7 linked regions of the Mus musculus genome follow. The protein of the gene in region 7 interacts with the protein of the main gene of each other region in a biochemical or structural test. Links are inferred from orthologs where the notes say so. Each region holds a gene or a part of one and is shown on either strand. Other genes may lie near its edges. The genes, in order: Kpna2, Kpna1, Nup153, Kpna4, Nup98, Kpna3 and Kpnb1.

What was found.
Region 1: the proteins of Kpnb1 (region 7) and Kpna2 form a complex in vitro, tested with the Homo sapiens proteins (6 studies listed by BioGRID and IntAct, with this or other methods). The link is inferred for Mus musculus from reciprocal best matches to the Homo sapiens genes KPNB1 and KPNA2.
Region 2: the proteins of Kpnb1 (region 7) and Kpna1 form a complex in vitro, tested with the Homo sapiens proteins (6 studies listed by BioGRID and IntAct, with this or other methods). The link is inferred for Mus musculus from reciprocal best matches to the Homo sapiens genes KPNB1 and KPNA1.
Region 3: the proteins of Kpnb1 (region 7) and Nup153 form a complex in vitro, tested with the Homo sapiens proteins (4 studies listed by BioGRID and IntAct, with this or other methods). The link is inferred for Mus musculus from reciprocal best matches to the Homo sapiens genes KPNB1 and NUP153.
Region 4: the proteins of Kpnb1 (region 7) and Kpna4 form a complex in vitro, tested with the Homo sapiens proteins (2 studies listed by BioGRID and IntAct, with this or other methods). The link is inferred for Mus musculus from reciprocal best matches to the Homo sapiens genes KPNB1 and KPNA4.
Region 5: the proteins of Kpnb1 (region 7) and Nup98 form a complex in vitro, tested with the Homo sapiens proteins (3 studies listed by BioGRID). The link is inferred for Mus musculus from reciprocal best matches to the Homo sapiens genes KPNB1 and NUP98.
Region 6: the proteins of Kpnb1 (region 7) and Kpna3 form a complex in vitro, tested with the Homo sapiens proteins (2 studies listed by BioGRID and IntAct, with this or other methods). The link is inferred for Mus musculus from reciprocal best matches to the Homo sapiens genes KPNB1 and KPNA3.

Annotation. Positions count from the first base shown.
Region 1 is NC_000077.6:106,996,726-107,000,940, reverse strand, and holds the start of Kpna2 (importin subunit alpha-1), read left to right. Parts: upstream 1-1,415; 5' UTR 1,416-1,582; intron 1,583-3,605; 5' UTR 3,606-3,628; coding exon 3,629-3,703; intron 3,704-4,215.
Region 2 is NC_000082.6:35,982,107-35,986,162, reverse strand, and holds the start of Kpna1 (importin subunit alpha-5), read right to left. Parts: upstream 2,801-4,056; 5' UTR 2,655-2,800; exon of another isoform or gene 2,503-2,654; intron 1-2,502. UniProt on the Homo sapiens protein: Functions in nuclear protein import as an adapter protein for nuclear receptor KPNB1. Binds specifically and directly to substrates containing either a simple or bipartite NLS motif.
Region 3 is NC_000079.6:46,682,850-46,686,349, reverse strand, and holds part of Nup153 (nuclear pore complex protein Nup153), read left to right. Parts: intron 1-2,113; coding exon 2,114-2,467; intron 2,468-3,080; coding exon 3,081-3,353; intron 3,354-3,500. UniProt on the Homo sapiens protein: Component of the nuclear pore complex (NPC), a complex required for the trafficking across the nuclear envelope. Functions as a scaffolding element in the nuclear phase of the NPC essential for normal nucleocytoplasmic transport of proteins and mRNAs.
Region 4 is NC_000069.6:69,089,093-69,092,592, reverse strand, and holds part of Kpna4 (importin subunit alpha-3), read left to right. Parts: intron 1-2,515; coding exon 2,516-2,685; intron 2,686-2,772; coding exon 2,773-2,817; intron 2,818-3,500. UniProt on the Homo sapiens protein: Functions in nuclear protein import as an adapter protein for nuclear receptor KPNB1. Binds specifically and directly to substrates containing either a simple or bipartite NLS motif.
Region 5 is NC_000073.6:102,118,900-102,123,166, reverse strand, and holds the end of Nup98 (nuclear pore complex protein Nup98-Nup96 isoform 1 precursor), read left to right. Parts: intron 1-1,104; exon of another isoform or gene 1,105-1,371; intron 1,372-2,296; coding exon 2,297-2,408; intron 2,409-2,495; coding exon 2,496-2,713; 3' UTR 2,714-3,767; downstream 3,768-4,267. UniProt on the Homo sapiens protein: Plays a role in the nuclear pore complex (NPC) assembly and/or maintenance. NUP98 and NUP96 are involved in the bidirectional transport across the NPC. May anchor NUP153 and TPR to the NPC.
Region 6 is NC_000080.6:61,370,448-61,373,947, reverse strand, and holds part of Kpna3 (importin subunit alpha-4), read left to right. Parts: intron 1-861; coding exon 862-990; intron 991-2,972; coding exon 2,973-3,077; intron 3,078-3,174; coding exon 3,175-3,246; intron 3,247-3,402; coding exon 3,403-3,500. UniProt on the Homo sapiens protein: Functions in nuclear protein import as an adapter protein for nuclear receptor KPNB1. Binds specifically and directly to substrates containing either a simple or bipartite NLS motif.
Region 7 is NC_000077.6:97,185,093-97,189,200, reverse strand, and holds the start of Kpnb1 (importin subunit beta-1), read left to right. Parts: upstream 1-1,308; 5' UTR 1,309-1,615; coding exon 1,616-1,655; intron 1,656-1,753; coding exon 1,754-1,812; intron 1,813-4,091; coding exon 4,092-4,108.

The sequences.
Region 1 (4,215 bases), about 9.8 Mb from region 7:
TTGTGATTCTGTGTTCAGAATTACTCAAGTTTTAAAGTATTTGAAGGCAGGCAGTGGTGGCACACTGCCTTTAGTCCCAGCACTCTGAGGTCTGTGGAGTTCAGTCAGGTCTACAGAGACACAGAGAAACCCATTAAGTGTGTGTGTGTGTGTGTGTGTGTGTGTGTTTGGGGGAAGGGAGCAAAATAAAGAAATAAATAAAAAATTTTAAAGGTTTGGAGAAAATAGGTATTAATAAGTTATTGGTTTTTTGTTTTTGTTTTTCGAGACAGGGTTTCTCTGTGTAGCCCTGGCTGTCCAGGAACTTACTCTGTAGACCAGGCTGGCTTCGAACTCAGAGAACTCAGAAATCCGCCTGCCTCTGCCTCCCAAGTGCTGGGATTAAAGGTGTGCGCCACCACCACCGGGCTAATAAATTATTGTTACCATATTTGCTGCTTCCATTGTCCTTTTTCTTTTTCTTTTTTTTTTTTTTTTTTTGCTTCTGTCCTGGAACTCACTCTGTAGACCATGCTGGCCTCGAACTCAGAAATCCGCCTGCCTCTGCTTCCTGAATGCTGGGATTAAAGGTGTGCGCCACCACTGCCCGGCTTCCATTGTCTTTATTTTCCAAGTAATCTAAAAGTTTACCACACGGGACAAAGTGGGGCATGTCTGTAATCCCAGAACTGACGTTGAGGAAGGATTGCATTAGGTTCAAGGCTAGCCTGGGCTCTATTGTTAATGTGAGACCCTGCCTCAATCCCACTCCCCATGATAAAAATTAAATAACCAGTAAATAGCACAAACAATAATATAGCGATACAACTAATGATTGCCTAAAGATAAAATAATCAACAAATACTATAAACAATATAGTGATACAACTAATGGTTAAGAGGCACACAGATCCACGTTCTCCCGGTGACCAGCTCCTGATGTAAAATTTTTTTAAAGTAAATATATTTCTCTTTTCTTTTATTGATTGATTGACTGATTGGTTGATTGAGACAGGGTCTCACTATTTAGCCCTGGTTGGCCTGGCTGTATAAACCAGGTTTGCCTTGAACTCCTAGTGCTGGGATTAAAAGCCTGCGCCAATCACCGCAAGCTAAGCCTTTTTTTACAAGTGTAATAATAATTTCGTGTGTTTGTTTAAGGACAAGCCCAGGGAAAGCAAACAGGGTACGGCCCAGTGTCCATCTAAGCATAGACGAAACGCAGGTCTCCATGCTGTGTGCTGAGATCTGGAGTCACCCTTCTGCAAGGCACCCTGGGATTGCCCGGCCGCTCCCTCATCTCGCGACGCTTCCCTGCTTACCGCCCCACCCCCACCTTTTTTTTTTTTTTTCCCCTACGACCTGCGTCTGCGTCCCACCCCCACCCCCGCCTAACGTGTTTTTCAAACCTACCAATGAACGCGCAGCTTAGGCTCAAATCAGCCAATCGGAACGCGGCGTCACCGGGAAATTTAAATCGCGCCGGCCGGCAGCACGAGGCACAAAATCTGAGGGCTGAAGGGTAGCAGACGTTTCCACAGCCGCCGACCCGCAGCTTGAGTGTCCTGCACCACCTTTCGTGGAAATCTGAGCCGGCTGTACAGGTAGGAACGGAAGCCGGTCCTGAGCAGTAACGGCCGGACGGAAGGCTGCGGGGCGGAGGGCGGGAGCAGGCCGCGCCCGGGCCGGAGCTGAGCCTCCCTGCTCCGACCAGGCCTCGGGGCGGGTTGGTTTCGCCACGCCGGGGTCAGGGTTGGCAACGCCGGGCGCTGCGGAGGGCAGCGAAGGCCTGGGAGCGGCTCGGGTCGGCGTGGAGGGACCGGAGGGCAGCCGCAGTCGAGCGGACCTACCTGGCTGTGCCGCCGCTTTCCTGATGCTTCTGCCCCGGGGAGGAGACGCAGCTTTGGGCAGGGGATGAAGGTGGCAGTTAAGACACCCCAGTTAAGCCCTTGACCCGGATCACCTGGGTCAGGGTCGAGGACGGACATAAAGCAGTTAAACCTACTAGCTTACCAGGGTACTTTGGGTTCCTGTCCCTTCGCGACGACCACACCTGGGTTCTATCGAGCCCCACTGATCACAGCTGATGTCATCCCGGCTGAATGCATTCTCTGGAAGTGTGTGCAAGATGCGGCGTTAATGCCATTGCTGACAGCGATGATGTGATGGAAGGCCCTATAATGGAACGAACCGATTCTTTATGTAACTTGCAAGAGGGTACTAGTATGGATCCGTTTTGGCCATCGATCAACAGAAAACGAGAGCTGCGTTTATTGCCTTAAGGACGTAGATGGTTGCCAGGCATTGTTGGCGCACGCCTTTAATCCCAGCACTTGGGAGGCAGAGGCAGGCCGATTTGAGTTCGAGGACAGCCAGGGATACACACAGAAACCCTGTCTCGAAAAATAAAACAAACAAAGGACGTAGATTGTTCTCCTACTTGGTGTTCTATTAACTAATGGAGCCTAGAATTTAGATCCTTGACTTAATACCGTGCTGGCTAGAGGCTTAAGACTATTGAGTGTTTGAAAAGCCGCTAATCTGTTGAGATGCCCCGTGTGCTTAAACTACCCATTGGATTTTGAAGGTGTATAAAAACAGTAAGACATCTCAATTTTTCTGTATTGATGACATCCTCAAATGGTAATAGTTTAGCTATATTGGGTAAAAGTCTTAAAATTAATTTCCTTCCTTCCTTCCTTTCTTTTTGTTTTTTCGAGGCAGGGTTTCTCTGTGTAGCCCTGGCTGTCCTGGAACTCTGTGGACCAGGCTGGCCTCGAACTCAGAAATCCTCCCGCCTCCCAAGTGCTGGGACTAAAGGAGTGCGCCACCACTGCGGGGCTCACTGTGGTTAGTGGAAATTTTAAATTATCTTTTTTTAAAATTTTTTTTGATTGACAGTTAAGTTGCCTTTGTAGTAAGGGGCAATTATGGCTTAGTATTATAGCCATAATGATGAAAACTTGTAGGATTTTGTTTTGTTTTTATTTTATTTATATATTTTTGAGACAGGGTTTCCTGAGTAGTCCAGGCTGTCCTGTAATTCACTCTGTATACTAGACTGGCCACAAACTCAGATCCGTTTTACCTCTGCCTCCTGAGTGCTTGGAGTGCTTTGCCATCACTGCCAGGCTGTGTTGTGTCGTCATCTTTGTTTTTGTTTTTTTTTTTTTTTTTTTTGGTTTTTGTTTTTGGTTTTTCGAGACAGGGTTTCTCTGTATAGCCCTGGCTGTCCTGTCCTGGAACTCACTTTGTAGACCAGGCTGGCCTCGAACTCAGAAATCCACCTGCCTCTGCCTCCCAAGTGCTGGGATTAAAGGCGTGTGCCACCGTTGCTGCTTTTTAAATCTAGTATAGAAATGGAGTTGAGATTTAGTTGATTATAACATGCTATTGTATATTTCTGTTTGTTTCATCTTAAGATAGGGTTTCTCTATGTAGACCTAGCTGGCCTGGAACTCTCTACAGACCAGGCTGGCTTCAAACTGATAGAGATCTGGTTGTCTCTGCCTCCCAAGTGCTAGGATTAAAGGCGTGTATTACTCTACCCAGCTTCTGTTGCATTCTTATTAAAAATACTTTTTCTTTGTTTCTTTTTTTTTCTTCTCACCCTCCCTTGGCTCCTAGCTTTCCTCCTTGTTCCTGCAGCCATGTCCACGAACGAGAATGCTAACTTACCAGCTGCCCGACTTAACAGGTTCAAGAACAAGGGGAAGGACAGCACAGTGAGTACCTTCTGTTGCTTTCCTGCGTGCTTGTAAAGGGAAGGGGGATGTTTATATAACAACAGTTCTGAGGGACTGGGGATTGAATCCTAGAGCTTCACACTCAGGCTAGGTAGGTTTTTTTCTGTGCCCAAGCTTCATCTCTAGTTTTAGGTATTTAAACTTTTAAAATTGCATTTATTTATTATTTACTTTTGTGTATGTGGGGGGAGGATTTTTATGTGCACCTGTTGTACATGTAGAGGAATTTCCTCCTCTACATGGCTCTGAAAGATTGAAGGCCTCAGACTTGGTGGCAAGTGCCTTTATTCGCTGAGCCATCTCTTGTTGGTCTTTGAAGGATTTAAAAAAAAAATCACAACTGGGTGGGGTGCTGAACACCTTTAATCTCAGCACTTAGGAGGCAGAGGCAGGTAGATCTCTGAGTTTGAGGCCAGTCTGGTCTACAAAATGAGTTACAGGACAGCCAGAGCTACACAGAAAAACATTGGCTTGAAAAACCAAAAAGGGGG
Region 2 (4,056 bases), on a different chromosome or scaffold from region 7:
TGTAGGTAATATCTTTATTCTCTTTACTTGACCATAGGTTTTCTAGGTCTGATTTTGTAGACCTTTTGGGAGGGTTAACTACAGGCCTCTGGCATGCTATACTCCTGCAGGTTTTGCTTTCTTGTTTTGTGACAGGGTAAAGTTCTAGGCTAGCTTCAAAACTCAGGATCTTCTGGCCTCTGTCTGTGCTAGGATTATAGGAACTAGCTACTATCTCTTACAATGCATTTTGAGACAGGGTTTCTCTGTATAACCCTGGTTGTCCTGGAACTCACTTTGCAGACCAGGATGGCCTCGAACTCAGAAATCCGCCTGCCTCTGCCTCCCAAGTACCGGGACTAAAGGCGTGCGCCACCACACCGGGCTTTACAATGCATTTTTATCAGCAAATATTTTTTTCCCTAGAACAAAGTCTTCTTCTAGAGGTTTCTGGACTAGAAAGATGGTTCAGCTGTTAAGAGCACTTGCTGTTCTTGCAGAAGACAGGTTTGGTTCCTGGTACCCAAACTCAAACCATCTTCAACTCCACTTTTAGAGACTCTAACACCCTCATATGGCCTCTGCAAGCACCAGGCACCATCATGATGCACTTACAAACATTCACACACTTAAAAAGGAAATAAAATATTTATAAGAAACAAGCTATTCTTTTTTTTAAAAATATTTGTTACTATACATAAGTACACTGTAGCTGACTTCAGACGCACCAGAAAGGCACCGGTGTCAGACCTCATTACAGGTGGTTGTGAACCACCATGTGGTTGCTGAGATTTGAACTCAAGGCCTTTGGAAGAGCAGTCAGTGCTCTTACCCACTGACCCATCTCACCAGCCCAAAACAAGCTATTTTTAAAACTAATACTGTGTTCTTCCGTGCTTTCATTTATGCTAGGAAAAGCTAATATCTGCTTCAAAGTTGCTGTAAATTTGCTTTTATTTCTTTACTTCTTCTCAGGCCTCCATCTTAAAATTGTATATCACATAAACGATAATCCGCCAAGAATAAGTTATTTCAGCAAAACTAAAAAGCTAAACCATTCTCAAGTTCCTTTCAAAATTTAGACCTTTCAGCCTTTAAAATGGAGAAAGGAGGTCAGGTGTGACAACACACGTCTTTAATTTCAGAATTCCAAGAGCAGAGGCAGGTGGATCTCTGAGTTCAGTGGCAGCCTGGTCTATGTAAGAATTCCAGAGCTATGTAATGAGACCCTATCTAAAAGTAAGTATATAAATAAGTAAATGTTGTACACATCATGAATACAAATTTATACTAACACCCGCACGTGCAGGCATGCTGTAACCCCAAACACTTGAGAGGCTGAGGCAGGAGTGTTTTGAGTTCAAGACAACCAATGTAATGCTAGGCCAGCCATGACTAAATAGTGAGACTTGTCTCAAAAACAAAGAAAAGGCAACCTACAGGCAAGAAGGTTGGGACTAGTTAGTACCTACTTTGATATCTAGACTGATGGAAATTTTGAACTGACTGTGTAGTTTCTGTGTGACTCTGAAATCCTGCCACCCCGAAGGCCAGGGCAGGATAAGAAGCTCAAAGCCAGCCTACCAAACAAAACCCAACCTCAAAAAAAAACAGGCTGGGCAGTGGTGGCGCACGCCTTTAATCCCAGCACTTGGGAGGCAGAGGCAGGTGAATTTCTGAGTTCCAAGACAGCCTGGTCTACAGAGTGAGTTCCAGGACAGCCTGGTCTACAGAGTGAGTTCCAGGACAGCCAGGGCTACACAGAGAAACCCTGTCTCGAAAAAAAACAAAAACAAAAACACAAAAAAAAGAGGAGGAGGAGGAGGAGGAGGAAGGAGGTGTTTGACGGAACTCTTTTAAGAGGGAAAAGGCCAGACAATAGTGTTTAATATCTCAAAAGCATTTCTCGGTGGCTGATTCCTATAGTAATTTACCAAGCCGAAGTTTAAGCCTTAAAATCAATTCATGTGAAACTTTTCATTGAAAAGTGGTTTGGAAGCAGCTGCATTCAACCCACACATTCTTTCTTGCCGATGTCCCTGATCCCAGTCACCCTCCAGTTTTCTGCTCCCAATGCGAGCCTCAGCTAAGGCTTGGCGGTTTCCCTCGCATCGCCGGCTCACACAGCCGACCAACTTGTCATTGCTATAATTACCACACCCCCGTCAGCAGCTCCAGGCCCGCGTAGTTATGACATCTGTAAACTGCAAGCCTCCCGTCTCCACCCCCACCTCCCTCCAAACACCGGCCCCGGTGGTAACCTGCCAACTCCCCGATCGGCCCCGCACGCCTCGGCCTCAGCCACCGCACTCCGCGCCGCCCGCCCCCGCCCTCAAGCTAGCGCGGCGCGCAGACTCCGCGCCGCCGCCCGGCGCCCCGCAGTCCCCGACGCCGCTTCCACCGCCGCGCCGCGCCGCGCCGCCCCGCCCCGACCGGCGTTCCTCACGGCGAGCACCAGCGTTCCCCACCCCCACCCCGCTCCGCCGCCGCGCGGCCGTTAGGACCGCCGGGCCCGTGACGCACCGGAGCGACGCGAGGGTCCGGTCCCCGGCGCGCCCGAGCCAGCTCCGGCTTCCGCCCGCGTCCGCCTTCGCCCCGGGGCCTCCCTCGGGTCCGCGGAGGGGGACCCAGAGCCGCCCGCCGAGGGGGAGGGGCCGCGAGGTGCCCCCACTCACCGGCTCCAGGCGACCGGTCCCGGTGCCACTACGAAGAGGGAGACGCTCGCTCTTGGCCCGCCCGCTGCGCCTCTTCTGCGCACAACCTTGACCAGCCGGCGCGCACCACGGCGGCGCTCACCAGGCCTCGCTCTCCGCTGCCGCTCACAGAGCCGCGAGACCCAGCTCAGCCGGCGTGCGCACTGCGCCTGCGTGCGGGGGCCGGCCGGCGCGCCTGCGTGCGCTTCTCCGCCGCCTGCCGCAGGGGCTGCCGGGAAGCGGAGTCTCCGAGCGTGGACGCCCTAGGCTAGCGGCGGCCAGGGAAAAGGCGGCGGCCAGGGCGTGGGTCTCTGCGGACCAGGTTGGCAGTCAGTAAAAGCGCAGACATATAGAAGTTATGGAAACAAACTTGTCCTTACTAAGCTCTTCCAGAATGGACGGATTCCCCCTCACATCAATATAGCTTCCCTCTCACATGGTAGGTACCTCACAGCCGAGCATGCTTATTGGATGAATGATGGCATGGTTGGAGGCTGAGGGAGTATTACAAAATACGTCAGTGTCTCACGTTCAAAGAATTCACATGCAACCCGTTTGCAGGAACTTTCTGGGTATTCTCTTCAGTTCTCACCCATCTTACCCGGTAATTTATTAGTATCATATAACATTAAATCGCTTTTTGAGCCTAGCATGACGGTAACGCACGCCTGTATTTTCAGCTCTAGGAAGTCTGAGGCAGGAGAATGGCGAATTCTAGACCAGCATTACTACGTAGAAAGACCCCTATCTCAAAAACGGCAATTTCCAGCGAAAATATTTGCGTTGCTATGAGAAGGCACGCTAAAACAAAATATTTAGGGAAATGACTTAACCGTTACATGATAGAATTTTTTTTTCTTTCTGGGGAGTAGAGCGGTGGCTTCAAAGGAACACTTTAAGACAGCAAGTAGAGGTCACAGGAAAATCACAACCACAGGACACGGTTTAACAAGTCAGTTTAAAAGGAATACTGAGGAGCACCGGACATGAATCTGTAGAACCCCCGAAGGGAGACCCTCACTCAAGTCTCAGGGATCGCGAGCCCAGAAAGCCACAGTCACGCTTGCTGCAAACACACGAGGTTTTTAATGGCACACAAACCAGCATGCTGAGGTCGAGACCCATACACCACGCAGGGGTAGAGGAGTCTGACCCCAACCCTATTTTCCAGCAGGTTTATAAAGGTAAAAACCAGAACCTAGGGGGAGGATGGGAGAGGAAACAGGGGAAGTCTAGGGGCGGATATTTACTTCAAGGCACCTGGGACATTGAAACATTTTGTGGTTGTTTTTCCCAAGAGTTCCAGGGAATTAGGCCATCTGGCCGGGGGCGGGGGCCCATGTTCTCAGGGCAGTCATTATTTTATTTTTTTACTCTTCATTTC
Region 3 (3,500 bases), on a different chromosome or scaffold from region 7:
GATGCATACTGTCAGGGAAAATAAGTTTTAGGTAAATTTTTATTTACAAATTATGGATAATGAGTCATCAAACATGTAAGGAACATTGGCAGTGAATATAATTCAATTCTAAGAAAACAGGATCATTTGAAAACTAAAATAGAGGTGGGGAACAACCTCATTAAAAAGAAGTTGGTTGACATAAAGCTGTTTGGTTGATGGAGTGGTGGGATGAGCATTGTCTGGTCTGATTATTGTAATGAGGTTTCCCAGAGCAGTGTCACCTGAAAAGTGCTTTTGAAATTGAATTCACTTAGATAATGAGAGTGGTATAGGGAAACATTAGAAAATTTAGAGGAAGATTTTCTGCATATAAAATAAGACACTGAGGCTGGAGAGATGGGCCCAGCAGTTATGCATACTGCTCTTTGAAGAGGACACAGGTTTTGAGTCCCAACACCTATTTTAGGTGGTTCACAACTGCCTATAATTCCAGCTCCAGGGGTATTTGATTCCTACACACATTCAGGTAAAAATTAAATTTAAAAAGACACTGGTTTCAAAATAAAAACGACTGAGCTGGGCATTAGTCCAGTGATAGAGAAAACATTCTGCAAGGCTTGTGCAAAGCCCTGGATTTGATCCTCAGTACCAAACAGTGCCCCATAAAATGAAATCATCTTGAACCATTTTGTAGCTAGAAAATTTTGATCAGACATAAAAGCAAATGTAGCTATTTTCAGACATGCAAAGTTTGTAACTTTGACACTTTTTTATTAAACACCTTTGAAGCACTCAGGGAACCCCCACATGGGAAATTCACATAACCATGAGTAGTTTTTTCATATTCGATGTTTACGTGTAAATTTGAAAACAACCTACAAAAAAAAAAAGAATTAAAACTGCCTATTATTTGAAATGGGGAGAAATGAAATATTGTAACCAGCTTTGATCATGAAATCTTATCACCTGTAGAAAGCAGTCGCCCATCCTGTCTAGTGTGTAGCTTCAGAGCTGAAATACTGAGAAAGTAGAAGTTTGATTCAGGTGGTATAAGAAATCAGAAGCTTTTCTTCAAGTCACCAATCAGTAGTTATACAGCATAAACAAGTCCTGTGTTTTCTAAGCTTTCTAATTATTTATCTAATTTTAAGACTTATTTATTTTATGTATGAGTACACTGAAGCTGTACAGATGGTTGTGGTTGCTGGGAATTGAATTCAGGACCTCTGCTTGCACTGGTCAGCTCCGCTTGCTCTGGCCCAAAGATTCATTCTATCTAAATACACTGTAGCTGTCTTTAGACATATCAGAATAGGGTGCCAGATCTCATTACTAATGGTTGTGAACCACCATGTGGTTGCTGGGATTTGAACTCAGGACCATTGGAAGAGCATTCATTGTGCTTAACCGCTGAGCCATCTCACTAGCCCAGCTTTCTAATTTATAATGGCTGCAGTGATAAGTGTAAGAGCATAGAAAAACCTCATTCCTGGGGGAAAACATTTCTTTTGTTCCTTTCATTTCAGTTATTAGTTTTTGTGGAGTTTGTCAAGCTCTAAGCTGCCTATGAAATTTGTAGGGGAAAGTAAACGCACAAGGAATGTGAGAAGAAAGGCAGGCACTAATCAATAACAGTCTAATAATAATGACAGTGACCACGAAGGGAAATACGTATAGATTAGGAGATTTAGGGTGCCACCAAGGTGACATTGTGTATTAATTATTAGCAGGAGTTAGCAAATACTCAAGTGCAGTCAGTATGATGAGATTTTGTTGATTTGTTCATGTGGATAAATGGAAGTCAGGGTGCTGCTATTGTAATATGACATAAACCACAGCACAGACAGACACGTACAAATGTACCCAGCTTCTACTATCTGATTTGGTTTCTGAATATAATACCAAGTTAGATTTGGATGTGAGACAGTGTATTTTACATTAAATTTATGCACATAGTAGCAGGACTTTTTATTTGAATGCTAAGGGTCTTTGAGTAAAGAGAAAATCTGTAGACCATAAAAGATAAGTACTTTTGACATTTCAAAGAATTGATGTTTACTTGATGAGACTATATTAGGTGATTTGTTCCTCCTTAAGGATTTATGTTTGTTTCTCAATCATTGTTTTGCAGATCAAGGTGCAGCAAAGCCAGTTTTTAGCTTCTTGAACAGCAGTTCCTCTAGTTCAAGTGCACCAGCCACTTCATCTAGTGGTGGCATATTTGGTAGTTCCACCTCTTCCTCCAACCCACCTGTGGCAGCCTTTGTGTTTGGACAGGCCAGCAATCCTGTCAGCAGCTCTGCCTTCGGTAACGCTGCTGAATCCAGTACATCTCAGTCTTTGCTATTTCCTCAAGAGAGCGAGCCAGCCACCACGTCCAGCACTGCCCCAGCTGCCTCTCCCTTTGTATTTGGGACAGGAGCCAGCAGTAATAGTGTGTCTTCTGGGTTCACTTTTGGGGCTACAACCACGTCAAGCTCTTCAGGTACTTCTGTGCTAGGAGAGAAAAATGGGGTTTGTAGTTGGATTGGTTCTGCTGAATTGCCAGCTGCAGTGTGCCTCCAATTCATGTAAGGTCTAAGGTCTCACCTGTGGAAAAATGGGCACTTCAGGTGGAATAGATCTAATTCTTAAGAACAGTATTTTCTAATTTTAGGAAGAATATATAACATTTCCAAGTTGCCTTTTTGAAATGTCAGATTTATAAGCGACCAGATAGTAATAGTGGTTGTATGGGATGTGTGTTTATACAGTGACTCAGAGCAAGTCTTTGAGATAAACCATTATAGAAAAAATTGTTGAGCCTAAGCTACTCAGTTCCAGGCCAGCCCCAGGAATACTATAAGACCTTGTCTGACAGGCACACCCCTCTTACTAGTAAATGATTGTTGGTTGCAAAGGGGGAAGGTTGTGTTAATTGAAGCTTTTGTTAAACCAGTGTATGTTTAGTAAACAGTGTCATTCATTGTTCTAATCTAATTGTAATCAAGGTAAGAGTGTGAAAGTAGCTTGAAATTTGTGGATTTACAAATGTTTCTCAAGGGTTATCTTATTATATATAAACCTTGATGTTGATTTAACTATTTCTTGGCCTCCAGGATCCTCCTTTGTATTTGGCACTGGACATTCAGCACCATCTGCCAGTCCAGCATTTGGTGCTAACCAGACTCCAACATTTGGACAAAGTCAAGGTGCCAGCCAGCCTAACCCGCCAAGCTTTGGCTCTATCTCGTCTTCAACAGCATTATTTTCTGCTGGTTCTCAGCCTGTACCACCACCTATATTTGGGACAGTGTCAAGCAGCAGCCAACCTCCTGTGTTTGGACAGCAGCCTAGTCAGTCTGCATTTGGCTCTGGGACAGCTAATGCCAGTAAGTTTGTATGATAGTTGACATCTATACTTACAGTCTGGTGTTTTAAAATAGTGTTTTTTCTTTGTACTTTGAAACTATGTGTGTGTTTTAATTTTTAATGTTTTATACTTAACAATGAATTGTGTTTCACATTTACGTATAAAC
Region 4 (3,500 bases), on a different chromosome or scaffold from region 7:
TTGGTAGTCAGCTCTTAGTTATTTAAAGGGTTATAAAATATATACATTATTACTAACTTTCCCCATCTATGAATAACAGTAGGCAAAAATTAAAATAATTTTTCTTTTTATAGCATACTTGAGCAGTCTAAAAACCTTGTATAAGAGATTAAAATTTAGTATATAATGTATATTTCTATTGTGAATTAACAGTAAGTATCTAATAGCCTAATTCATTATTGAACATTATCATGACCTTTGCCCTTATAAATAACTGTAGGAAAAATAATTGACACAATCTCAGTATTTTGAGCATTTTTTTAGACTAGAGGCATTTTTGTTTGCTTGTGGTAATCTGGCTGCCTGAAACTCATGGTCGTCTTACCTCAGCTGGAGAATCCCCACCCCAAGTGTGGGATTGCAAGACTATATACCGCCAAGTCTGTTTACTGGAGGCTGTATTAACTCAGACTTTAAAATTCAAAGAACTAATCCCAGTACCTAGGGAGGCTGAGGCAGGAGAATTGCTGTGAGTTCAAGACTAACCTGTACTACATAGCAAGATGCTGTCTGAAAACAAACAGAAAACTAGCTAGTGGTGGTTGCAGCACTCCTTCCTTTAATTCCAGCACTCAGGAGGCAGAGGCAGAGGCAGAGGCAGGTGGATCTCTGAAAGTTTTAGGTTTACAGAGCAAGTTCCAGAACAGCCAGAGCTACACAGAGAAACCCTGTCTCAAAAAAACAAAAACAACCCCCCAACCCCCAAACCAATACTGAAATCTGGCTTGGAAATCTTGGAAATCCCTTTTTTGGTGGTTTTTTTGTTTGTTTGTTTTTTGTTTTGTTTTTTGTTTGTTTGTTTGTTTGTTTTGATGAAGGAGGATTCTGGACATTCTTTAAAAATTAAGACACTTCACTTACTTTGTATATATGTATATGTGTGTGTTTACATGTATATTACAGCATATGTGTAAAGACTAGACACTTCCACGTGTGTTCTGAGTATTGAACTCAGAGTGTTAGCAAGCACCTTTACTCACCAAGCCATCTCAACAGCCCTAAACACTCATCACAGTCTTCATTGTTCTGACATGGAGGGTATTGTTTGTTTTGTCTTGCTATGTCTCCCTGACTGACTGTAGCCCATGTTTTACTGAACTCTGAGCCCTATTCCTTCCTCGGCCTTTTGAATTTAGAGGTTATAGGTATGTGTTTCCACAGTTATTTGCATGTAAGTGTTGTTAGCATTGTTATTGCCCCTATTAATTTTTGTGAGCAGCGTACTCTGTGAACTTACTAGTGTAGAGGACACTGCTTTTAGAAGTGACGTTGCATATCTGGGTGCCTCTTGTATCAAGCATCAAAGCTTTGTATAAAGCTGTTAAAAGTTCCCAACCTTCCTAATGCTCACCGTCATGTTGTGATGACCACTGTCTTAGTTAGGGGTTTTTCTGCTGTGAACAGACACCATGACCAAGACAACTCTTAGAACAACTTTTAATTGGGGTTGGCTTACAGGTTCAGAGGTTTAGTCCAATATCAAGATAGGAACATAGTAGCATCTAGGCAGGCATGGTACAGAAGAAGCTGAGAGTTCTACATCTTCATCTCAAGGCCACTAGAAGAAGACTGGCTCCCACATGGTTAGAAGGAGAGTCTCTTTGCCCACCCCACAGTGACACACTTCTTCCAGCAAGGCCACACCTCCTAATATTGCTACTCCCTGGGCCAGAGATATTCAAACCCCAATCATAAAGTTATTTTTGTTGCTACTTCATAACTGTAATATTGCTAATGTTAAGGATTGTAAATATCTGATATGCAGGATATCTGATATGTGACATCCCCCTCCTTAAAGATTTTGTGACCCCACTGTATCAAAGAGACATTATGGTAAATTATTATAATAAAGTAGAGAACCATTATGATATTTGTTTTTGTTTTTTTATTCTCTAATTACATGTTAGAATTATATACATCACCAGATATTATAGTGCAAGAAAGTTTTTTTTTTTCCCCTGTGGATTAGTTTTGCTTCTGATAATGGGTCTCATGTATCCTGGGCTAACTTTGAACTCACTGTGTAGCTAAACTTATCTCCATACTGACTCTACCTCCAAAACATTGTGATTAGACTTGTGCCAACACACTAGACCCTATTAAATCATGATGTATAAATTCTGCATTAATTTTCTCAATAGTTATTTAGACATATTGTATTAATGTAAAAGCTTGTTATACTGAACAAAGCATTGCGGTAATGATAACATGTCTGCTCAAAGTATTTGAAATAATCTTGGGCTTCTGCATCTTAGTGACACCCTGTAAGTGAGCAGCTTATAAAGACACATATTTGTTACATTGGTTCTCTTGGCTCAAAGACCTATAATGTCTACTTGTTAAATTCCTAGTATTTTTATATAAACTAAAAAAAATCTTATTAAAATGTTAGTAGCTGCATAATTGTACCCAGTGCTTTATGTTTTCTGAAAAAGCTTAGTGTTGATTTATCTTATTTAATTAATCCTTTCTACAGGTGATGGACCTCAGTGTAGAGATTATGTGATAAGTCTTGGAGTTGTAAAACCTCTGCTTTCATTCATAAGTCCATCTATTCCTATAACATTCTTAAGAAATGTTACCTGGGTTATGGTCAATTTATGTCGCCACAAAGACCCACCACCACCAATGGAGACAATTCAGGAGGTAAATAAAAGAAAAAAATAGTTAGATACCATTTTATGTTTTTTCTTTTAATCAGTATGTTTAAGTTGTACATATTTCTCTCCTCAGATTCTTCCAGCTCTTTGTGTATTAATTCATCACACAGATGTAAATGTGAGTAAATTCTTCTCGTATATTAATAAATGTATGTATGTGTGTATGTATATCTTCTGGACTCCCACTATGATATTGGACTGAAAACAGTGTGTAATTGTATTCTGTCATACTTTACCATTTCAAGAGTTAAGGTACTTATTTGTTATGTTTCCATTTCCTCTGTTTCTGTAGCTTCAGTGAGGAGTCAAACCTGTTACAAAGATGCAGTTAGTCATCTCCTCTCATCAGGATTGATTGTTCTTGACATTTATGCTTACTCCAGCTGCCATCTGGCTTTTGAGAATATATACACATGGTTGTGTTTTTGTATTTTGAAGCATAAGTGAATATTTAGCTTAAATACTAATTCGAGCGTGCATGCGTGTGTGTGTGTGTGTGTGTGTGTGTGCGTGTGCGTGTGCGTGTGCGTGCGTGTGTGTGCGCGCGCGCACATGTGTATGTCAAACTATGAAAACCTATTGTTCCTCAGTTCCATTTTTCAGTCTTATTTCTCCAGTTATAGCAAAGTTCTTTGATTAAATACAAATTTTAGTGTTTTGTTTTTTCAAAGATTTGCAAGACATTGGAAAGTATTCTAATATCCAACAACTTTGTTTTTCTTTCCACTTGTTTCCTAACTCTTGTTTATCTGCCACAAGATGAGCTTGTGCTTCAATGTTTACTTTTAATAGGTCTTGAAT
Region 5 (4,267 bases), on a different chromosome or scaffold from region 7:
GGTTATACATACACAACACAGATGTGCAGGTTCCTAGACAAGTTGTGGAAGTGGGTTTTCTTCTGGAGTCAGACTGGAGTCATCAGGCAGCAAGCACCATTACCTGCTGCTGAACCATCTCAATGGCTGGCTCTGCTGCTTTGTCCCCTTGAAAGTGTGAGTTACACGCTCACTCCCAAAACACAGGGTACATTTTTTGAACCTGTCAAACCAACCATGCTGTATTTTTTTTCACATTTCTATGTTCTTTAAGTTGGGGGAGACCTTTTGTGTTGAGTGTAGTAGTTCAGCGCTCAAGCTTCTCAGGCCAGACTATTAGGTTTCCCACACTGCGTAAGTCACTAAGTTAGTTAACCCTGTCCTCCTTTCCCCAGGAGGGCTGTGTGGAGTGATGGCTAGAGTAGTCAGTGCGTAGCCAGTATGTATCTATCCAACAGGGTTTTCATCCACTGCTGATCACTAGCCCCAGGCCAGGCATATAGTGGCATACTTCAGTAGTCATTGAAGAAACATTTCTAGTTGATTCAGTTCATTTATTCAACATAGTCATTAAGAAGCCAAAAAATGCTAAATACTATGGATTTGGGAGCTTTAGGGGTAAACAGCATGTTGTTTCCTTGCTAAAGTACTGATTTAGTGGGGAAAACGTGTGAGCAAGCCAGCAATACTACAGAGTAAAGGAAAAGATCTACCTTAGATTGTTGATTCTGTGCCAGTCACAGTGTAGCTCAATAGCCATATTGATAACCTAATGAAACGCAATCAGTCCTCACTTACAATCCAGTCTGGGGCTGGAGAGGCTCAGTAATTAAAATCACTTGCTACACTTGCAGAGGTTCGATGTCTTAGCCACATGGTGGCTCACAGACATTATCTAATCCAGGGTTCTCTTCTACCCTCACACATGCAGACAAAACATCATGCACAAATTAATATCTTTACCTTCCCAGTTCTGTTTTGCTGTTTTCCTCTTTTACCGCATGCATTGCATATGAACACTTTACACCTCACAGGACTTGGCTGTTTCCTTTACCTGGAAAGCTCTGCCATGTTTTTAGGAAGGTCTCAGCTTCCAAATAGTCTCCCTAAAGAAGCTCTCCCTGCTCTGAAAAGACATCCAGTTTCTTTATTTCCACAGCTTACAATTCAAGGTTTTCTTGTCTGTAAGATTCATGAAAGCAAGATGGCAGAGGGTTAGAGTAGTTTGTGTTTAGGGATAAATCAGTGGATTCTGCAAGGCCTCTTCAAAGTGAGGTCTAGAGCGCTGGTAGCCAAGCTTGATGACCCGAGTTCAATCTCCAAAACTCACATGGTGAAAGGAGACCTCCTTTGATGCGTCCTTCCATGGCATGCATTCAGACACTGAGTAGCCTGTAGGAAGAGCCGGTGGAGGGAGAAAAGTAAATCAGGTTTGTCTTTAATGTCACTGAGCCTGGTGTGGTGGTACAGGGCTGTAATTTACCATGGTAAACAAGAGGGTAATGGCAACTCTGGGGTCAACCTGGGGTGCAGAGGGAGTTCTAGGCCAGCTGGGGCTACATAGCAAGACAGTATCTCAAAAAACAAATGATTATAGAGTGTGACACAGTAGTGTGGCGAAGCTCCTAAGGTGTTTGAGTGAGAAGTAATGATGGTCCAAGCTTCAGCAAGGGGTGTGGCACAGGAATGGAAGATTGTTGTATTGGGCTTGAACTAAGGACTTAGAAATCAATACAATGACTATAATTGGAACCATAGGGATGGATCAGGAGAGTGTATAAATGAGTAGATCCTGCACTGTTTTAGACCTTAGAATAAAGAGACATAAATGCTGGTTTAAATGTCACCTCTTATTACATGTGTGTCTCTGAGTGTCATAGATTTATCCTCGGTATTTTGGTGTTGTGTAAAGACTTTGTGGTTTGTGAATCATGATCTCAAGACCTGTGCAGCACAGGCTCTGTGTTCTTTCCCTTATGTTACTGTTAGTGCCCTGTCCTTAGCAACTAGATGATATGTTGGTAGCGTGGGTTTTCTCCCCTCCTATCAATGTCCTAAGATTTTGTGTCATCTATGAGTGGGATTGAAGTATACGTGGGGTTTTGTTTGTTTGTTTGTTTGTTTGTTTGTTTTGGTGGTGGTACTGTTTTGTTTTTGATTTTTGAGACAGGGTTTCTGTTTATAGCCCTGGCTATCTTGGAACTCATTTCATAGACCAGGCTGGCCTCACACTCAGAGATGCGTTGAAGTGCTGAGATTAAAGGCATGTGAGGGAGAAATTTCTTTTATCCTTACTGGTTTCTCTGTTTTCCTGTAGGTGGATTGCTCAGGTTATGAACTAGAGCACTTACATACCAAAGTGACTTCACTGTGCAATCGGATAGAACAGATTCCGTGTTACAATGCCAAGGATCGCCTGGCTCAATCAGGTTAGCATGTGGGCTTTATTCATTCATGGCTATTTCACCCCACACCAGTGCCACGTTCTCAGCACTCACTCTGTTTTTTCTGTCTAGATATGGCCAAGCGGGTAGCCAACTTACTGCGGGTAGTGCTGAGCCTTCAGCATGCTCCTGATGCCACCTCCAACTCAACGCCAGACCCTCAGCGAGTCCCTTTGCGTCTTTTGGCTCCCCACATTGGCAGGCTCCCCATGCCTGAGGACTACGCCTTGGAGGAACTGCGAGGCCTTACCCAGTCCTACCTTCGAGAACTGACTGTTGGGAGCCAGTGAGCTTGGCTCTTGCCACCACACTCATGCCCACTCACACTCGCCACACCACAGTCCCCAGCACTGTTTTAGTTGACACTTTGCCAATCTCTGGGAATCCTCCATTCCTTTCTGCTGCATCTTCTAGTTATTCAGGGGTTTTCCTAATACTGAGCATAGCCTACAATAGCTCATAAGGGCTTCTGGAACAACAACAAAGAAGACAGGTCTCCATTTATCAACCTCAAGACCTTTTTTTTTCTTTTTCTTTTTTTTTTTTTTTTTTTTCTTTTGAAAAATGGTCAATAAAACCTCTTTGGCAGAACCTCCCAAAACCTAGGGAATTCTTTTCCACACCCAGCGTTCTGGCTCTCACCCCATGCCAGCATCTAACCTCCACCACTGCGATCCTTTTGTACCGTGACTGTTTGACAGACATCTGGCATATGACTGACTGACCTTCCTTACAGATTTGTCCCTCAAGTAGATTTCTCAGTAACGGTGGATTTTGGAGTCAAAAGAGAGTTGGACCTTGTTCTTTGGTAAATTTAAGATAGAAGGGCTGTCTGCCATAGAGGTAGAGATCTTCAAGGCCTTTACTCATGCCCTGTGTATCCTTTGGACACCATACTATCATGCGCAGTGGCCCCAAGCCACCGAGAACCAGTCTGAGAAGCTCCAGATTCGCTCAGGCCCTTGATCATCAGTCGTCGTCGTCTTCGATTTGCCAGAGGAGTTTAGATGAAGAATGTCAAGGATGTTCCTCCCTGCCCTCCCATCTAGCCAAGAACATTTCCAAGAAGATAAAACTGTCACTGAGACAGGTCTGGATGCGCCCTAGGGGCAAATAGAGAAGGCCTTTACCACATTGCTGCTGGCTATAGGAAGTCCCAGGTACTAGCCTGAAACAGCTGATATTTGGGGCTGTCACAGACAATATGGCCACCCCTTGGTCTTTATGCATGAAGATTATGTAAAGGTTTTTATTAAAAAATATATATATATATATAAATGATCTAGATTATTTTCCTCTTTCTGAAGTACTTTCTTAAAAAAATAAAATTAAATGTTTATAGTATTCCTGGTGGTATTGACTTTCTCTTTGTGTTTTTGGAGACTCTGAGAAGAAACCGATCCTAAGTTAAAGAGCGAGCGAGGGGCTGAGGAGTGAGTTCAGAGGGTCAGAGCACTAACCACACAAGTCTGACAATCCAAGTTTAGTTCTCAGACTCCTGATAAAGCAAGCTGTGTTGTTAGCACACATCTGTAATCCCAGTGCGCTGTATGTGCCTGGCAGCACTCTCATGGATACATGTTTACGTGTATTTTGATCATATCCATCACTCCCACTCTGAATTTCCAGCATTCTGGTTTTGTTTTGTCTTTGTCTGAATTTATTAATATTTTATGTGTATTGTGGTTTGCCTGTATGTATTCACCACTACAAAGTGAGTTCCAGGACAGCCAGGGCTACACAGAGAAACCCTGCCTTGAAAAACAAAAAGTATATTCAGATGAACAACTTCAATTTAGAATCTACGTGCATAAATTTGTGTGTAGTATTTATCAATCAGTAAC
Region 6 (3,500 bases), on a different chromosome or scaffold from region 7:
CCTGTGTTCAGTATCCTGTTAGGGACAGCATGGTGCATATCTGATGCCTGCATTCTCCTTCATGTCCTGCTGGATTCCTGGGTTCCTTCTCCATCCTTGCTGCTGAATGCTTAGGCTCCTCCTTCATCCTGCTCTGTTTCAGGTCCCTTTTCTTTTCACTGAAGTCTTCAGTCTGCCTTTGGGATAGTATCCTAACTGCATACCTTTTGCTGTGCTCTGATTAGGGGTTGTTGTAAATTCTGCTCATTATACTTCTCTGCCAAATGTTTTACCAACTAAAAATAAATGCTGACCCAGAATGACATTAAATATATTAAATGCAGGACTGTATATGACGTGGTAGACACAAATGCATGCTAATTCAGAATAATATTAAAGTCTATGGGACCTGTTCAGTGATGAATAAGAACTGTTTTAAAGATGGGACTTCATAAATTTTAGTTTTCGCTATTTAAAAAACTTTCCTAGAAAGTTTTATGTGGAGTTCAATAATTTTCCACTGGGGGCTGGCAAGATGGCTCAGTGGGTAGGAGCACTGACTGCTCTTCCAAAGGACCTGAGTTCAAATCCCAGCAACCACATGGTGGCTCACAACCATCTGTAATGAGATCTGATGCCCTCTTCTGTTGTATCTGAAGTCAGCTACAGTGTACTCATGTATAATAATAAATAAATCTTAAAAAAAAAATACCACAAGAAATTACTGTTTAAAAGCCATTGCTTGGTTTGCTTATGGCTTTGTTGTAGGGATGGAATAAATGTTAATTTTTTGTTCCTCACAGTCTCTCAAGAGTTAATGAAAAAGACGGAAACAACAATTTCATTATAAACATGTTTAAAACTGTTTTCTTCCTCCTTCAGACTGCAGCACTCAGAGCGGTTGGGAACATAGTGACTGGCACTGATGAGCAGACCCAGGTGGTTCTCAACTGTGATGTCCTGTCCCACTTCCCAAACCTCTTGTCACACCCAAAAGAGAAAATAAATAAGGTAAAGGCATGCACTGTTGCTTCTCCTCTCTATGACGGTTTCCTCGTTGCTATTAGGATGTTTATTCAGTCATGACACTCCAGGGGAGAGATCTTTGTCACGGTTTTACTGTTTCATCACTGTCTGCTTCCTTTAGTCCCACTCTCAGCACAGAATAAAAATAGTGAATATTTGGACTTTTTATGTTTAAATAGGTTGAGCAAAATTGGTAATTATTAAGTTATTAACCAGTATACAAAAAATACATACAAAACCTCCCACAAAAATAACTGGTATTTTTAAAAAATAAACATGTAATTTAATCTTCTACAACATAGAAAAGACCTTAGGGTATCATGTCTTCTTTCAAAGATCATAAAATGTATTCCTTTAAAGTTTTAAATACACACACACACACACAAATGTATTTGTAATTGGACAGCAGACACTTAAGTAGTTTTATGTCTTGTTTTAAAGTTCATTTATTTAATAGAATGTTAGAGCTGTGTGTGTGTGTTTATGTGTGTGAGGGGGAAGGACCAAGGTCAGCATCAGTTATCTTCCTCAGTTACTCCCTACATTGTATTTTTAAAAATGACTTTTATTATTTTTAATTCTGTGTATGGGTGGGTGGGCATGTGCATATAAATGCAGGTGCCAGTAGAGGTCAGAAACAGCCCCTCCCTCCCTGAGCTGGTGGAGGTCCAGGAGGTGACTGAGCTGCCCAGGTGTTCCTAGGAGCTGGGCTCTGGTTTTGGAGAACAGATCATGCTCTCACCTTGTGTTTTGAAGCAATGTCTTTCACTGGACCTGAGCACTACAGATCTTTTGTGTCTGTGCCTCACCAGTGCTTGGGTTACAGATATGTGTCAGTGAGCCGAGGTTCTAGATGGGTGCTAGAGATCTCGTCGGGGCTCATGCTCGTATGGCAGGCACTTCACCACCTCAGCCTCCTCCCAAGCAAGCCTTGACCTGATTTGCTTTTATGGCCGAATAAGTCACTCTGTTGGATGTTATACCACATTTTTCTCATTTACCTGTTGAATGACACTGGGGTTGTTGCCACTGCTTGGCTATTGTGAATAAAGTTGCAGAAAACACTGACACATCAGTAACTTTCAAGTCTTTGATTTAGTTTACTCTCTGATGTTGCTAGAAGTTGCTGCAGTCATGGTAACTGTGTGGTAGTTTTTTGAGGACCCTTTAAACTATTTTCCCTTATGGCTGTACTTTACAGTGTATTAGGGTTTCGTTTTCTCTCAAGCTGTGTGGCTATAGTTGTTGGTCACCATGTGTCTCGCATAGGTGCTGAGTACCTGAACGCAGGTCCTCATGTTCTTGTAGAAGGCACCTTATCCACCGAACCTTCTCCCCTGACCTAATGCTTTAAAATAAATATCTTGTAGTGGAAGTAGTTTTGACAAGAATTTGGAAATTCCAATCTTTGGGCATGCCTTTCAAAATAAACTAATACAACTCTGTGGAGAAAGGTTTGAGGCTGCTTTATTTGCTGTTGTATCTACTTAGAATTATGCTTAGCTTAAAGTAGGCTTACAGATCATTACATAAACACTGGGTTTAGTGGACATACGAGTATCACGACTGGAAGCTTCCTTCCTCTTTACTTAAATGGGAAGTCTGAATTGGCTAAATAGCAGGTACAATGCTTGCCTTGTAAACCTGACAACCTGAGTTAGATCTCTAGAGCCACATGATGGAAGGAGAGAACCAAATCTCAAAAGTTAGAATTTGTCTGACCTGCACATATGCACTGTGGCACAGATGTGTACAACCTTTGCTTATATACCAAAACTAGAATCGCATACAGCGATAGTAAGTAAAATTAAAAGGGCAGTCTTGCACAACCGATCACTTTTTAGATTTGGTCACTTTAACACTACTCAGGAGATTTTGTTATCAAATATTTAAAATATTAAAGAGAAAAATAAAAACATTAAAAGTAGCTTTTTCAATAAAAGTGGTCCATATTTTGTTCACTACAGGAAGCAGTATGGTTCCTTTCCAATATAACAGCAGGCAATCAGCAGCAAGTTCAAGCTGTAATAGATGCTGGGTTAATCCCTATGATTATTCATCAGCTCGCTAAGGTCAGTTATATTATAAATTCATTATTTATCTTAATTTTTTACAACCCACATGTTTTTGATAAAGAGCTTACTTTGCGAAATTGTTTTTACATTTTAGGGGGACTTTGGAACACAAAAGGAAGCTGCTTGGGCAATTAGCAACTTAACGATAAGTGGCAGAAAAGATCAAGTGAGTATGAGAAAATTTAACTTGTCACTTTACTAATTTCAGCAAGGGCCCTTCTTATTTTTGTAAGTTACTAGATGTTTTCGTCTGGGTACTGCAGTTGTTAGAGGAAAAAGAATTAACAAATATTACAGATATTTCTTCTCTTGTATTGTCTAGGTTGAATACCTTGTACAGCAGAACGTAATACCACCATTCTGTAACTTACTGTCAGTAAAAGATTCTCAAGTGGTGCAGGTGGTTCTAGATGGTCTTAA
Region 7 (4,108 bases):
GCTATGACTTTAAGTGTTTCAGAGAACACTAAATCCCAAGTTTCCAAAGTGTGGCTAGTGTAGGGCAATTTCTTTACACCTTAAAAACAATACAATTTACATGCTATTTTGACCCATATGCTCCTAATCCCCCCATGACTTGCAGCTGGGTATCCAAATGAGGGGAGGGGAATGTTAAGCAACTATATGCAACGTATTTTTATCTTGTTTGTTGTATTTGTTTTTTGTTTTTGAAACAAGATCTCAGACTGTAGTTCAGGCTTCGGGATACTGAGATGGCAGGTGTGTCGCTACAGCTCGTCAATGCACACGTTCTTTATATAATACTACACAGATCTTGTAAACGAAGTCTGGACATCAAAGCTTTATGGGAACTGCTAAGTGGTCTAAGGACGCGCCTCCGCGAAACTTTGTTAACAGTCCAGGGCCCCGACGGGGTCTCCAAGGGCAATTAGGGGCGCCTGAAGCCAGCTCTGCTCGAGTCTGGAATGGGCTGTGTGACCTTGGACAGGCTCCACTCTCTCTCTGGGCTTCAGTTTGCAAATCCGCACGTTGGAAGGTGAACCACGTGGTTCTCATGGTCCGGTTCCGCACAGAGCGCGGCAGCAAGCCGACCTCACCATGAAGGCAGCTTCCTGTGGGCGCGGCGCAGGACTTTAACGGTTCCCGTCCCCGCCCCCTCCGAGGCCCGCGAAAGGCTCGCTTTCCGTACACCGCGGCGAGTGACGGCTCTCCGTAGCGCGCAGTCCGAGCCACTCGCGCGCAGCTCCGCCCCACCCCGGAGGCGTCCCGTCGTGCTCCGCGCCAGACTCCTAAGAGCCTGGGCGCCTCCCGCCTTTCCGCGCGGCGGCGACCCCGAACTCCTCGCTTCAGTTCTCCCGGCGCCCCGTCCTATCAACGTCCAGGATCCCAGCCAATCCGACGCGCCTGGAGCCTTTACCTTCCGCCCACCCTTCTCCCCGCGCACAGCCGGGCTGAGCCCGAAGGCCTTTACCGGGCCAGCCCAATCAGCGGCGCGCTCTTACCTGCCCCACCCCAGAGCCCCTCCCCTCGACCAATAAGCACGCCCCATCCCGCTGCCCGCCCAGCCAACCGGACCTTGAAGCCCGCAGGCCAATGGGCGCGTGGCGGCCCTTCAACGCTAGCCGTCCGGCCAATCGGGGGTTCCGCGTGGCCCCGGCCGTAGCCAATCGCTGGGCAGCGCGGTGCCGCCGCGGAGAGGTCCGGCAAGGATATCCCTCCGCCTCCCTCCCTCGATCTCTCTCCCTCCCTGCGATCCGCCTCTCACTCACTCACTGCCGCCCTTCCTTTCTCCCTCCGCCGCCCGAGCAGCAGCCGCGCTCCGAGCTGCCCCCGGGGTCCCTCCCCCGCCGCCAGAGGAGCAGCTGCTGCCGCCTAGCACATTAGGAGGGCGGAAGGAAGGAAGGAGAGCGGGGAGGAAGGGGAGCCGGAGCGCCTGGCCAGAGGCAGCCGGTGAATGGGCTTGTGGTGACCCCCACCCCCCACCCCACCCTCCCTTCCCACCCGACCCCCAACCCCCATCCCCAGTCGGAGCCGCCGCCCGACAGGCCGGGCCGCCGTCTTGCGAGGAGTCCCCGCCGCCGTCACCTCCGCCATGGAGCTCATAACCATCCTCGAGAAGACCGTGTCTCCGGGTAGGACTCGGGGCCGGGGGGTCGGGCCGAGGTGACCGGGGTGGGGGAGGGGGTGGCCCCTCTGACCCCGCTGCCTCTCCCCCCATCTCTCCCGGCAGATCGGCTGGAGCTGGAAGCGGCGCAGAAGTTCCTCGAGCGTGCGGCCGTGGAGAATCTGGTGCGTGCCGCCCCGCCGCGCCCCATCCCGCCGCGTCCCCATCCCTGCGTGCGGCCCTTCCCGCCCTCCTGGAGGCCCAGGCCTCAGGAACCCACCCCGCCCCAGCTCGTCCCCCTACCCCCCCGCCCGGCCCAACCTAACCCCGCCATCGGGAAGCCGGTGGGTGTGTCCCGCCCCGAGCCCCGCGTCTGGCCAATAGCGAGGCGCGCCGGGGTGATCGCCGTCCAATCGCCACGCGGCCTGAGGGCGGCGGTGCTGCGGGAGGGAGAAAGAGGGAGGGAAGGGAAGTTAGGTTGCATGGCGCTGCGTGTTCAGCAAGGGTGGGGGTTGGGGAGCCGGGCCTAGGGGCCATGTGGAAGCTCTGCGCCCTGCCGCCTGCCTTGTACTGGCTGCGGCCGGCCTCTCCTTCCTGTCCCCTGGTTTTGAGGCAGTATGCAACTACTTCCCAGAGCCCTACCCTTCCCCAGCTCCCTTGGTCTGTGCTCATGGCCACGCCTGGCACCCGACCACCTCTGGACCCATTGCCACAATTTTTTTCTTTTTCTTGCCCATTATTATCCCATTCCTGGTCTAAGTGCACGAATGTTCTGTTTGGACTTAGGTTTTCAGAGAACTCATCTTTAAGGATCTCAGGCTGAGGCTCATTTCTGAGATTGAGCCTATTCTCTGATAAATCACAAATGTAACCCCGTTTTTCATACTTTCGGATTTAAGAAGTACATTTGAGAAAAGAAAAAGTGACTGACTTTTGTATAGGAAAATGTGGGATTATTGAAGCAGCCTATTGCCAGAATGTTTCTCCTCTCCTTTTTGGGGGAAGGGGAGGGAAGCGTGGATGATATGGAAAGTCTCTTTAAAGGTAGGAAGTTTTAAAAAGTGAAAAAAAACATTGTAACCCAATGTCCTTTGTGAGAGCTTTGCAAAATAGTAACATCCATACAGCGACATATCTGATTTGTACTGACCACTTTTGGTGGAGAGGTAAGCGACTTGTGTTAAGGTTTTTTTATCTCACACCTTTCCAAGCATTTCCTTTTTAGTGTAGACTGAGAATTCTGCTCATAGTATATTCTTGGTTTTGCTTTTGCTACTTTGCAAGAAGCCCTTTTTCCTGCTCCTAACTCTTCAGTGGCACAGAATAGAAATTGGAGAATTGTGTTCTGAGCCTACTGTAGAGTTTGCTTACATTGAGAATTATCTCCTGTGTTTGAAGAGTTTGCTAACACTAAAAAAAGTGTCTACTTTGGCCTTCTATAACATTCCTGATTGGACAGATTACGTACAGGCCCACCCCCCTGTGTGTGCCTCTGTATGCTCAGAAAGAGGAAGGGGGGTGTTATAGATGATTATCTTTTGGACCTGTATTTCAAAACATAGATTTTTGGATGATTCATTGTTAGTTCACATTAGGTCCAAAACACCATAGGCTCCCTGGTATGTTCTGCTTCTAAATGAAGCCAGTTTTTTTTTTTTTTTCCCCTCTCTCTTTTTTTTTTTTTTTTTTTTGGGCGGGGGGGAGTCAAGACAGGATTTCTCTATATAGCCCTGACTATCCTGGAACTCACTTTCTGTAGACCAGACTGGTCTCCCAACTCTGAAATCCACCTGCCTCTGCCTCCTAAGTGCTGGGATGAAACCAATTTCTCTTGACAATTCATCATTCACATTGTCATATTCTTTCAATTTCTGAAAACTAGTTAACACTTTGGCTTACAGATCCCTTTTGTTGAACATGCAGAACTAAAACACGGAGGACTCGGTCTTACATGTATGTTAGACTGGCACACATATGTTAGAAAGGATGCCTTACATGAGATCACAGGGCTGTCCTGATGTTTTTGAACAAGATTTTTTTTTTTTTAATATACTTTTCAAGAATTCTTTTCGTTGAGCTGATTTGCAGTACTGGACATTGTTGTACATGCTTGGAGAAAGTTGTCACTAGGATTGCCGTGTCACCAGGCATCGACTTGCCTTTAATTCTGGGGAGATATTTATTAGACTTGGGCTCAAAACATGTTCTTGATAGGAGGAATCTGTTTCTTCATATAGCAGGTGACTTGTCCTTGAAGTGGCTTTTGTTGCTTAGTCAGGCCTTAACTTTTTGAACCCAAGGAAACCTCTTCAATGTTGAGTCTAGGCAGGTACTATTTCAAAGAGAGATTTCCCAGTTTCCTGAGATACCTTGATTTGATCTAAATTTTGTGTGCTTCTCTAGTTTAGTACTTTATAAGCAAGGGGAAATTGCTAATATGCTTGCAAATGCACCTTCTCCACAGCCCACGTTCCTTGTGGA